3 linked regions of the Caenorhabditis elegans genome follow. The protein of the gene in region 3 interacts with the protein of the main gene of each other region in a pairwise test. Each region holds a gene or a part of one and is shown on either strand. Other genes may lie near its edges.

Region 1 (3,753 bases), on a different chromosome or scaffold from region 3:
GTTGCGACAATGACAAGTTGAACAAATTTCAAATTCTAGCTTAACTTGGTTTTTTCCAAATTAAGCGAAAAATCTAAAAACTCATAGTCAGCTTTTCAATTAAAAGAAAAATTGTAAAATATTATTTGATTTTATAAAATTAATTTATATAAAAAACTTACGGATTATCAAGCATATCCCCAGAAGAAGATAGCTTGAAGAAAGCTTGTCTCTTGAAATATAACCTATGCATCGTGAGATTACATACTTGACGACTTTTGATCGCTAACATATTTGTAAGATATTTGAATACTGCTAATGTCTGAAATTAAACGCTAATTAGGATGAGAAAATATCGAATTTCGATCTTACAAAAGCTTTTCCAAGAATAATCGCGGCTCCCCGTGCACACAGAATTTTAAACGTGTCAGCATCCTTGTTTCCCAGTGCCACGTAGAACAGACTTGGCTGGATTCCAACTAAATACGTCATTACTTGATCGAGAGCAGTTGCGATGAGCAGTGCTCCGGCGAGCCACGCGGTTATCGATCGACGATGACATGGAAACAGGATTTTAAGAAGACGCCAGAACCTCCGAAAGAAGAGGAAGTCGAGGGCCAATCTGGCCATTTTGACCGGATTTTGGGCCGAGGCGTTTTTGCGACCTGAAATTTTGTGATTAGGAAGGCTTTTTTCAGAAGATGCCCCAGAAATAGACATTAAGAAGAGGAGGAGTGGAGTTGAATTCAAGAAAAATAGTGAATTTCAGTGGAGATTTTAGACAAACTTGAAGCTTTTTTTATGACTGGACAATTCTACTGAGATCAACCGGAGCAAAAAACAAAGCATTTTTCTGGAATTTAAAATGTTTCAAGGAGAATATTTAAGACAACCAAACACCATTCAAATCCGAAACAAAAAAGAAAAGAAACGTAGGCCGGCCATACCATCCCATTCAAACCAAATGAGGTCGATAAAGGCGTTGAAAAGAGCACAAAGAAATGAGCACAGAGACGTGGACAATGAAGAACAGAAATGGATAATGATTATCACCTTTTTCTGTTCGTACTTCTTCCAGTTGAATTTCTTGATCCGACTCCATGCGGGATGTGCAATCTGGAAAGAGCTGGCTGTGAGTGAACATGCAAAAACATAATTTATATTTACAATAACAATAGAGATAACGACGATCAAAACAAAACTAAAAAACAAAAGCTATTCAAGGTGCTGCTGAGTTTTTGTGCATTGATAACAATTCAGTTTTACAGAAAAAAAAACAGAAAATGAAGCTTTCGGCATAAATTATTACAATTTTATGTTCCAAACATAAATAAACAGACTATAATGATTCGAATATTTTGAGAAAAAGCTTCAGTTTTCGACGGTTTTGCAGGAATAAGTTCGGTCAGCTGTACACGCAAATACATTTGCGTCCGCACACAGTGTAACGAGGAGAGTGGGGGACAGGAGAAAGTGAGGCAAGCGGAAAGAGAGATTGCAAACGCAGACGATGAAGAAAAAAATGATGGGCGGGGAAGCATTGGGCACTTTTTGGGGGAAAGATGAGGACCCTTTGATATTCAGAATTTTATATTCAGATTTATAACGTGATTCGTGCGAGGAGAATTATCAGTTTTATATAGGATCTTTGAGTTGAAATAAGACGAGAATTTAATTTTTTATCAACAAAAAATCGGGAAGATATGTAACGAATTTCTTGAACGGAAAATAGCAAGGAATCTTAAAAATTTATGAAAAATAAATTGCAATTTTCATACTGTAGAAATTAAAGGGACATTACGAATAAGCCGAATAAGGCCTCGGCACGATTTCAAAAATGCAAATACGCTCTGTTGGAATTTGCTTTTCCCGCTCAGTTTTTTAAATTTTAAAACTTTTTTTTTCATTCTTTTTCATTTTGGCTCCTCAAGATTGTTCCTGCTTTTCGATCGTTTTTTCGAAACCGAAAATTACGAAAATACACCCAGATTTTGGCGATTTTTGTAAGCCTTTCTATAGTTTTTAATCCCCAACAAAAATTATATTTTTTAAGCCGACGGAGAGAATCCAATCCCTCGACATTTACGGAAGATCGCCTCAAAAAAGGAAATGAGTACAAAAAGAAAGATTGTGGTTTCTTCGGGTAAAAAACAAATTGCATTCTGTGCAAATGTGTATTACGAAATTTCTTTTTTTAAGATTCCGATGATGATATGCCATTCACCCAGGAAAAGCAAAAGAAGGCAGCGACACCGGCGAAAAAAAGGGTTCGGAAATTCATGTGAACTGAACCCTCATTGAGAAATGTTTCAGACAAAGCCAGTAGTACTAACCGATGACGACGAAGAAGAAGAAAATGCACCTCAAAAAAAGACTGCACCAAAAAGATCGAGAAAGCAAGAAAAAGAAGAGAGCGATGTGAGAAAGCACTCTAATATCCATGAAATATCGCAATAATTAGCTTTTAGATAACCTCTGACGAAGACGAGCTCGTGCGCGGAACTGATGAAAAAAAGAAAAGAAAGGGTGGAAAAAAGGAGTTACCAGTTGGTCAAAAAACGCTGGATTATATGTTCAAACCTTCTTCGTCATCTTCGAAACGTGATGATCCTAAGAAAAAAGTCGAAAAAACATTAGTGAATCCCGCAGACTTCTTCAAAAACTCACCAGCGCCATCTGCATCAAAACTTCCAAAAGTTGCTCCGAAAACTGTTGAAAAACCAAAAACGCCAGCTAAGAAGCCAGTGGAGATCAGCCCGTCGACCAAAGAAAACACTAAAACAAAGAAAGTGTCGGACGATGAGTTCGTAGATTCTGATGATAGTTTTGACACGTTCACTCCTATTACTGTGAAAAAGAAGACACCTGAAAAGAGAAAGGAGACCCCGAAAAAGAAAGAGCTTCCTTCTGTCAAAAAAGAATTCCCAAAGAAGCAATCAATTCCTGTCAAAAAAGAAAAAGAAACTCCACAGAAAAAGGCGTTATCAGTGAAAAAAGATCCACCGAAAGTAACCTCCGAGTCATCTTCGTCGAGTCAAGTTTCCACGTCATCAGTCGTTTTTCAACCGAAACCAAGTGGGCCACCCCCAGCACTTTCATGGGTTGATAAGTATAAGCCGAAAAGGATGGGAGAACTTGTTGGCCAGAATGGAGACAAAAGCCCAATTAATAAGCTTTTGGAATGGATTAAAGACTGGGCAAAACACAATCTTGGCGAAGGGGCAAAAATTAAGAAGCGTAAGTAATTTTATTTCTATTTTATTATAATATTATCGGCAATTTTCAGCAAAACCAGCTCCATGGATGTCATCTCAAGATGGTACATCATTCAAAGCAGCTCTTTTATCGGGTTCTCCTGGAGTTGGAAAGACTACATGCGCCTATATGGCTTGTCAACAACTGGGCCTTCAACTTGTCGAAATGAATGCATCAGATGTGCGTAGTAAGAAACATCTCGAAGCGAAAATTGGCGAACTCTCTGGTTCTCATCAAATTGAGCAGTTTTTCGGAGCGAAAAAGTGTGCTCCACAAGATAATCAAAAGGTTCATCATATCCTGATTATGGATGAAGTCGACGGAATGTCTGGAAATGAGGATCGAGCTGGTGTGAGTTTAAATGAAGAACTAATATATTAATATTCAAATGTTTATTTTTACAGATCTCTGAGCTCATCCAAATTATCAAGGAGTCTAAAATTCCAATTATTTGCATTTGTAATGACCGGCAGCATCCGAAAATTCGTACACTGGCCAACTATTGCTATGATCTTCGTT
Region 2 (3,753 bases), on a different chromosome or scaffold from region 3:
AAAACTAAGAATACAGCACACGAGAACGATTTTTCAAGCTCATTTTTTCATTTTTTAAAAGTAATTTTTCAGTTTTTCTTTTGAAGAAAACAACAATGTGATTAAAACAGGAGAATTAATTAATTGGAATTATCTTAAACATAAACTTTGAACGAAAAAAAAAGTTTTGGAAAAGAAATTCGGCGGATTTTTTTTTGGAAATTTTCCAATTAAAAAAATTACTATTTTTGTAAATTTTCCAATAAAAAACATACCACAGCCTTGGTAATAGCGGCTGAACGAATAATTCCTGTCACTTGCGATGGGTACGACTGCACGGATTCCACCCATGTATCACGCTCCCATACTCCGACTCCTCTACGATCGGCAACCTGCAAATTAATTTATATAATTTTTTTCCAATCCGATTATTCCGCACCTTTTCACTCATAAGAAGCCTACTAATAAGCCTGGAGTAAGCCGGAATCGTCTGCAGCGACTTCAAATGCTTAACTTGATCCGGAGCTGGGACACGGGCATAGCCTCGGCGGACAACTTCCAGATTGAGATTAGTACGGCCAAATGCTGTTCTTTTGACGGTAACATCGGCGTCTACAGCGTCCGGAGCTCCTTCTACGTCCTAAATTAAAGATTTTAGGTAAAAAATGTGGGGAATTTGCTTTAAGACACGCCTATGGGGTCACAAAGACCGAATATCATTATAAAAAAATTTTAAAAAATTTTCTCTAGATTTTATATGATTTTTTGATTTTGAAAATTGAAAAATTCCTATTTGAAACTTGCATTATTTTTTTAATTTATTCTCATTATTTCACTGATTTTCTTCAGTTTTTGGGGTTTTTTTATCGGAAAATGAACGAAATAAACTAGAAAAAGCACTGAAATTGCTTAAAACTGTAAAATACACACTGATTTCAGGCTCGTCGTCGTTGGAACGCATAATTTCACAGTTTTAGGCAATTTCAGTGAATTTTCTTGTTTATTTCTTTCATTTTCCGATTAAAACCCCCCGAAAATGAAGAAAATCAGAGGAATAATGAGAATAAATAAAATAATTTAGTGAAAATAATGCAAGCGCGCTCCAAGCGGTAATTCAAATAGGAATTAGGGGAAAACTGGGATTTTTTTTTCAATTTTCAAAAAAAAATTATATAAAATCTAGAAATTTTTTCTGAATTTTTTTATCATGATATTCGGCCATTGTGACCCCATATGCATGTTTTACATACCTTAATAACGGTAAAAGTGACGGGTTTATTGGTAAGCCTCAAATCCTTCGCCAAAAATTGCTGTCCAGATTGAGAGAGCTCTACACCGGCCAGCCGCAGATTCAGAAGGCCCGTATCGACATTCTTTCGCTTTGGAAGGAACGGAATCTTCATAATTGGCTCATGTTCGACACGAAGTTCTCCACTTGGAAGTACCTCACGTACTCGTCCCTTTAATTCCAGCTCCTTTCGAATGAAATCCTTGGGAATTTGATTAACATGTTGGAATTTGTGGAACTGCAACATTATGATGACGATGATTTTTCAGTAGAAATATTTTTTTGCGAGAAATTCTTACCAATCTCGAGTTTCTCAAATAGATGATGACTCCGGCGAGACCGACACCGACGATTGCGCCCTAAACAAGCAATTAAAAATTGGTGATGTTTTTTGATGTTTTAAATTCCCAATTCTTACCCGTACGGCTAGAGCCGTGTATCTGTCGATCGGATCGACAACTTTTCCGCCGTCTGGGATGGATTTGGCGGTTGGAATAGCTTGCCCATGGTCCGGGTGTGTGGCAGCAGCTTCTGCGTCCGCCATTTATCTGAAAAAGATTAAGAATTAATTAAAAAATATTCTAGAAGGCTATTTTTTAAAGTTTAGGCATCAAAAAACAAAAAAAAACAATGTTTGCCTCCAGAAAAACAGTTCAAAAAACAAAAAAAAAACAGCCGTCCGGTGCAGGTCACCGATAGTGCGTCAGCGTACAGATTTGCGCCAGCAAACTTTCTTTGCGCGTTTCTCGTCCTTGCGGGAAACTTGAATTTAGTTTCTTCTCTCCTTTTAAAAGGCTTTTCCACATTAATTTCTGTAAAAAAATTGATTTTCCAGTTGAAATTCTCCAATGAAAGCCGCTGAACACGATTTGCTCACAATTGAGCTTGCTCCACGGCGACGAGATGAGCTCCAAATCCACAATAAAAAGATTGCAGAGGTGAGATTAGTCTCAATTAAGCTTTAAAAGTCGCAACAATTGTATTTTCAGGTCGATCATTGGCTCAAAAATGTATTTTCTGAGTCAAACAAGCAGCTAGGAGTGATGTACCTCACAGGACCAGCTGGCTCGGGTTATTATTAATTAAAACAAATTTTTTAAAAAATTTTTTTAATATTTTCAGGCAAATCGACGACTGTCGAAGTGATGTGCACAGAGCAGAATATCGAAATCATCGAATATTCGCCAGAATATCTTCACAATGAAGATTTCGAGTGTGAAAAGCCGGATTTCACCCAGCTGCGGAGGTTTTTGTTGCGGAGACATGGAAGCTTGCGGGGTGGTGGCTTGAAAAAGCGGCTTCTTCTCGTCACAGAGCTGCCTGATCAAGCTTATAGTGATGCTGAGAAGTTTCGAGAAGATTTGTCAGAAGTTCTGCAACATATTTGGCATCCCGTGATATTCTGCCTCACGAATAGTATTGCATGCTGGAATTTGAACCCTGATCGATTGTTTACCAAGGACTTTAACATTGTTAGTAGTTGAGGAAAATTAAATTAAATTAATTTGATTTAAAACATGCCCATTTGTGGAAAATTAGAAAAATCTCAGTTTTCCCCTAATTCCTATTTGAATTGCCGCCAATTGAACTCGTTCGATGGAGCGCACTTGCATTATTTTAATTAATTAATTTTATTTATTCTCATTATTTGACTGATTTTATTCATTTTATATGTTTTTTTACTGGAAATTGAAAGAAATAAACAGGATAAATGCAAAATGTTTATTAAAAAGTAATTGAAAATGCGTAAAACTATAAAATATATGCTAATTCACAGTTTTATGCATTTTCAAATACTTTTTAACAAAAATTTTGCATTTTTCTTGTTTATTTCTTTCATTTTCCGATAAAAAATATGTAAAATGAAGAAAATCAGGAAATTAAGATAATGCAAGCGCGCTCCACCGAACAAATCCAATTGGCGGAAATTCAAATAGGAATGAGGGGAAAACTGAGATTTTTCCAATTTTCAAAAAATCATATAAAATCTAGAACAATTTTTTAATTTTTTTTAATCATGATATTCGGTCATTGTGACACCATAGGCGTGTTTTAAAGCAATTTAAAGCAAAAAATCCTTTTTTTTTCTTTCAGATGAATGGAATAGATACAGTAACATTCAACCCAGTTGCTGACTCCTTCATGAAAAAAGCACTCGTCCGCGCTTCAAACTGCCTGAGCTCCCCACTATCCGATGCAAAGCTGAATGTGATCGGAGAGGAAGCTGGAGGCGATTTGAGAATCGCTATGAATATGTTACAGATGAATTCGATTGGACCGAATGCTGATAGAAGAAGTGGAAATAGTGTGATATGTGCATCGAAAGCGAATCGAGAAGAAGCTTTTCATATGATTGGGCGAATTTTATACGCGAAACGTGTCAATCCGAATGTTCCGAAGCCGAGTCGTTTCTCGAAGCGAAGGCGGAAGTCTGCACCGATTCCGGAGCCGCTAGTGAGAACAGAGCTGGAGCATGACCCGACTGA
Region 3 (3,753 bases):
TGCAGGCGATGTGAGCGGTGTGGCAATCGAGAACTGGAGTGTATCCGTTGGAGATCTGTCCTGGATGGTTCATGATGATGACCTGGGCGTGGAAGGTGCGAGCCTCCTTGGCTGGGTCTTGCTTGGAGTCGGAGCAGACGGATCCACGACGAATATCCTTGACGGAGACGTTCTTGACGTTGAATCCAACGTTGTCTCCTGGGACGGCCTCTGGAAGAGATTCGTGATGCATCTCAACGGACTTGACTTCAGTGGTGACGTTTTGTGGAGCGAAGGTAACGACCATTCCTGGCTTGATGATTCCGGTCTCAACACGTCCGACTGGAACAGTTCCGATTCCTCCGATCTTGTACACATCCTGGAGTGGGAGACGGAGTGGTCGGTCAGTTGGGCGTTGTGGTGGAATGATGGAGTCGAGAGCCTCGAGGAGGGTCTTTCCGGAAGCGTTTCCTTCCTTGCGCTCAACGGCCCATCCCTTGAACCATGGCATGTTGGAGGAGACCTCAAGCATGTTGTCTCCGTTGAATCCAGAGATTGGGACGAATGGAACAGCCTTTGGATTGTATCCGATCTTCTTGATGAATCCAGAAACCTCGTTGGTGATCTCGGTGAAACGGGCCTCAGAGAATGGTGGCTCGGTGGAGTCCATCTTGTTGCAGGCAACGATGAGTTGCTTGACTCCAAGGGTCTGGGCAAGAAGAGCGTGCTCGCGAGTTTGTCCGTTCTTGGAGATTCCGGCCTCGAATTCTCCAGTTCCGCAAGCGACGACCAAGACGGCGCAATCGGCCTGGGATGTTCCTGCAATTAAAGTTTTATAAACGAGCTAAAAATTTAACAAAGTCGTACCAGTGATCATGTTCTTGATGAAATCACGATGTCCTGGGGCATCGATGATGGTGATGTAGTACTTGGCAGTCTCGAACTTCCAGAGAGCGATATCGATGGTGATACCACGTTCACGCTCGGCCTTCAGCTTGTCGAGGACCCAAGCGTACTTGAAAGATCCCTTACCCATCTGAAAAAAATCGGGTGAGAAAATCTTTCAAACTAGTTGTTTGTACTATTTACCTCCTGAGCCTCCTTCTCGAACTTCTCGATGGTTCTCTTGTCAATTCCTCCGCACTTGTAGATCAAGTGTCCAGTTGTGGTGGACTTTCCGGAGTCGACGTGTCCGATGACGACGATGTTGATATGAACCTTTTCTTTTCCCATGGCTGCTACGGAGTGAGCAAAGTGTTTCCCAACTGAAAAAAAAACAATTTAATTTAAAAGTAAGAAGAGTGCGGACGGTAGAGAGAATAAAAGTCGAAAAAATTATCCTAGAAACTTCTAATATTTTTAAAAATTAAAAAAATATAAAAAGTGAGGTCACAAATAAGACAGTTAGAACATTTGTTGAAAGCCTAAAATAAAAATTCGACTAAACAGTGAGAACAGGAAAAACGCTGGGACTGAATGTTTGACCTCATTATAAATTCATAAAATTTAAATTTCCTAATCTGGATAAAAACAAAGATAAAAACAAAATAAACCAACAAAAAACCAACATGATTAGTCAGATGACCAGAAAACTCACGTTAATTTCACAAGGCCCAAAAAAATCTCTCCCCCTCTCGTTGCTGCCTGCACATCTAACTCCTAGCACGAAAATGTACCGTACACCATTTCAAACACTCTCGGCGGGAGTGTTGCATACTTTTTCTCTCTGGCAGTTTATTTTCAATAAATTCTTCATTTTTATATTGTATAATGTCTTTATTTTATGAAAAATTCATTAATTTAACAGAAACAATGGAAGAACCAATGGAAGTTGACAATAAAAGACCAAAGGTGCTCACCTGGACAGAAAAATAGTTAGTTTTTTGTTTTTCGATTTGCAAAGTAAATTCAAATTTTCAGTCGTCCAAAAACGCTAGACGATATTGCATACCAGGATGAAGTCGTCACAATGCTGAAAGGAGCGCTTCAAGGAAGAGACGTATTGCTTAAAAAATTATTCAAACTAATCGTTTTAATTTTTCAGTTACCACATCTTTTGTTCTATGGACCACCAGGTACTGGTAAGACGTCAGCAGCTCTTGCATTTTGCCGCCAACTCTTCCCAAAAAATATTTTCCAGTAAGTGAAATACTGGGTGATAATTTTTTCCAATAATTATATTTTCAGCGATAGGGTTCTTGATTTGAATGCATCGGACGAGCGTGGTATTGCAGTTGTTCGTCAAAAAGTAAGATTGCCACTGATTTTTAATTAATTAAGAATTCCATAATTATAAAAACGTTTCCTGTTTAGATTCAATCCTTCTCCAAGTCATCTTTGGGCCACAGCCATAGGGAAGATGTTCTCAAATTGAAAATTATCATACTTGATGAAGTTGATGCGATGACCCGAGAAGCACAAGCAGCAATGCGCAGAGTTATTGAAGATTTTTCCAAAACTACTCGCTTCATTCTCATCTGCAACTATGTTTCCCGATTGATTCCTCCAGTTGTGAGCCGTTGTGCCAAGTTCCGATTCAAATCACTTCCAGCCGAGATTCAAGTTCAAAGGTGAAATTTCAAAATTAAGTGTTTTTTATAACTTTCGGTGTTTTTAGATTGAGAACAATTTGTGATGCAGAAGGAACTCCCATGAGTGATGATGAACTGAAACAAGTTATGGAATATTCAGAAGGTGATTTGAGACGAGCTGTATGTACACTTCAGTCATTGGCTCCAATTTTGAAAAGTGTTAGTTGTTTTTTCTATAAATATTGTGTAAAAATAGTACTTTATATTTCCAGGGCGATGACAATGCTCGAAATTGCTATCTCCGTGGTTCTTCGGACAGTTTACTCATTTCAAACGTTTGCAAATCAATCCTGACTGCTGATGTTCCCCAAATAATTGCATTGACAAAGGATATCACAAAATCGTGCACTGGTGTTGCTTTCATTCGTCGTTGTTTCCAACAGTTGATGGATGAAGATGTTATCAATGACGAGAATATTGGAGTAATGGGGAAACTGGTTGCGGTTGGTGGAAGATGAATACATAAATAGAAATGAAAGTTCAATTTCAGACTTGCGAAAAGCGAATTTTGGATGGATGTGATTTGGAAAACAATCTCCTCGACTTTCTGCTCACTCTTCGTGAAACTATCCAATGATAAATTAACACAATACGGTTTCAATTTGCCCATTGATTTCTCAACTTCAAAATTCACGTGTACTATATATAAATTTTAACATTCTATAAACAATAGTTTTGTGCTCAAATTTCGACAAAACATTGAGATTATTATATTTTTTTGAAGGTACAATTCGGCTTAGGTTTTTTTTCAGTTGAATACAAAATATCGAATAGGATAGTTTGGAATAAATAACTACTAGTTCCCTCCCAACTATTTTGCTCTCCGCTCAGTTTTTCACCCTCTGTCGCCCATCGATTTTCGCTCCTTGAAGACTCGGCTCCCCTTCCATTTTCTAAGTAATCTCGCCCCATTGAGCAGTTTTCATTTTTGGTATGAAGCTGAAGAAGTGGAAGTATCCAATTTCAAGAGCTTTTTTGTCTCAAGCAATTTGTGTGAGAATTTGAATTGAGGCAATTTTGAATCCCATTTCATTGTGAATTTCTTTTCTACTATAGCTCTGCTTCATTTTCCATATGATTTCAATTGAAGCTTCCTGACTCTGTACTAATATTAGAGAAAGTGGGGTCAATTCGAAAGTCCACCGTCTGATCAGTACTCAAATTTGATCGAGTCAATGTGTCT

Evidence for each region.
Region 1: the proteins of rfc-4 (region 3) and rfc-1 interact in a two-hybrid assay, tested with the Caenorhabditis elegans proteins (3 studies listed by BioGRID).
Region 2: the proteins of rfc-4 (region 3) and hpr-17 interact in a two-hybrid assay, tested with the Caenorhabditis elegans proteins (3 studies listed by BioGRID).

What each region holds. Positions count from the first base shown.
Region 1 is NC_003283.11:14,644,081-14,647,833, reverse strand, and holds the start of rfc-1 (Replication factor C subunit 1), read left to right. Parts: upstream 1-1,854; 5' UTR 1,855-1,982; intron 1,983-2,032; 5' UTR 2,033-2,088; coding exon 2,089-2,122; intron 2,123-2,178; coding exon 2,179-2,246; intron 2,247-2,292; coding exon 2,293-2,397; intron 2,398-2,440; exon of another isoform or gene 2,441-2,447; coding exon 2,448-3,216; intron 3,217-3,265; coding exon 3,266-3,585; intron 3,586-3,638; coding exon 3,639-3,753. Other genes in the region: pmp-3 (ATP-binding cassette sub-family D member 4), read right to left, coding at 162-301, 352-644, 1,033-1,081.
Region 2 is NC_003280.10:13,155,397-13,159,149, reverse strand, and holds the start of hpr-17 (uncharacterized protein), read left to right. Parts: upstream 1-2,102; 5' UTR 2,103-2,115; coding exon 2,116-2,205; intron 2,206-2,256; coding exon 2,257-2,338; intron 2,339-2,389; coding exon 2,390-2,739; intron 2,740-3,361; coding exon 3,362-3,753. Other genes in the region: F32A11.1 (Mitochondrial import inner membrane translocase subunit Tim21), read right to left, coding at 255-371, 419-619, 1,230-1,505, 1,567-1,626, 1,686-1,811.
Region 3 is NC_003281.10:6,970,469-6,974,221, forward strand, and holds rfc-4 (Replication factor C subunit 4), read left to right. Parts: upstream 1-1,784; 5' UTR 1,785-1,791; coding exon 1,792-1,853; intron 1,854-1,899; coding exon 1,900-1,978; intron 1,979-2,023; coding exon 2,024-2,118; intron 2,119-2,166; coding exon 2,167-2,227; intron 2,228-2,292; coding exon 2,293-2,549; intron 2,550-2,596; coding exon 2,597-2,729; intron 2,730-2,782; coding exon 2,783-3,013; intron 3,014-3,060; coding exon 3,061-3,147; 3' UTR 3,148-3,249; downstream 3,250-3,753. Other genes in the region: eef-1A.1 (Elongation factor 1-alpha), read right to left, coding at 1-798, 847-1,015, 1,069-1,212. UniProt on the Caenorhabditis elegans protein: The elongation of primed DNA templates by DNA polymerase delta and epsilon requires the action of the accessory proteins PCNA and activator 1. This subunit may be involved in the elongation of the multiprimed DNA template.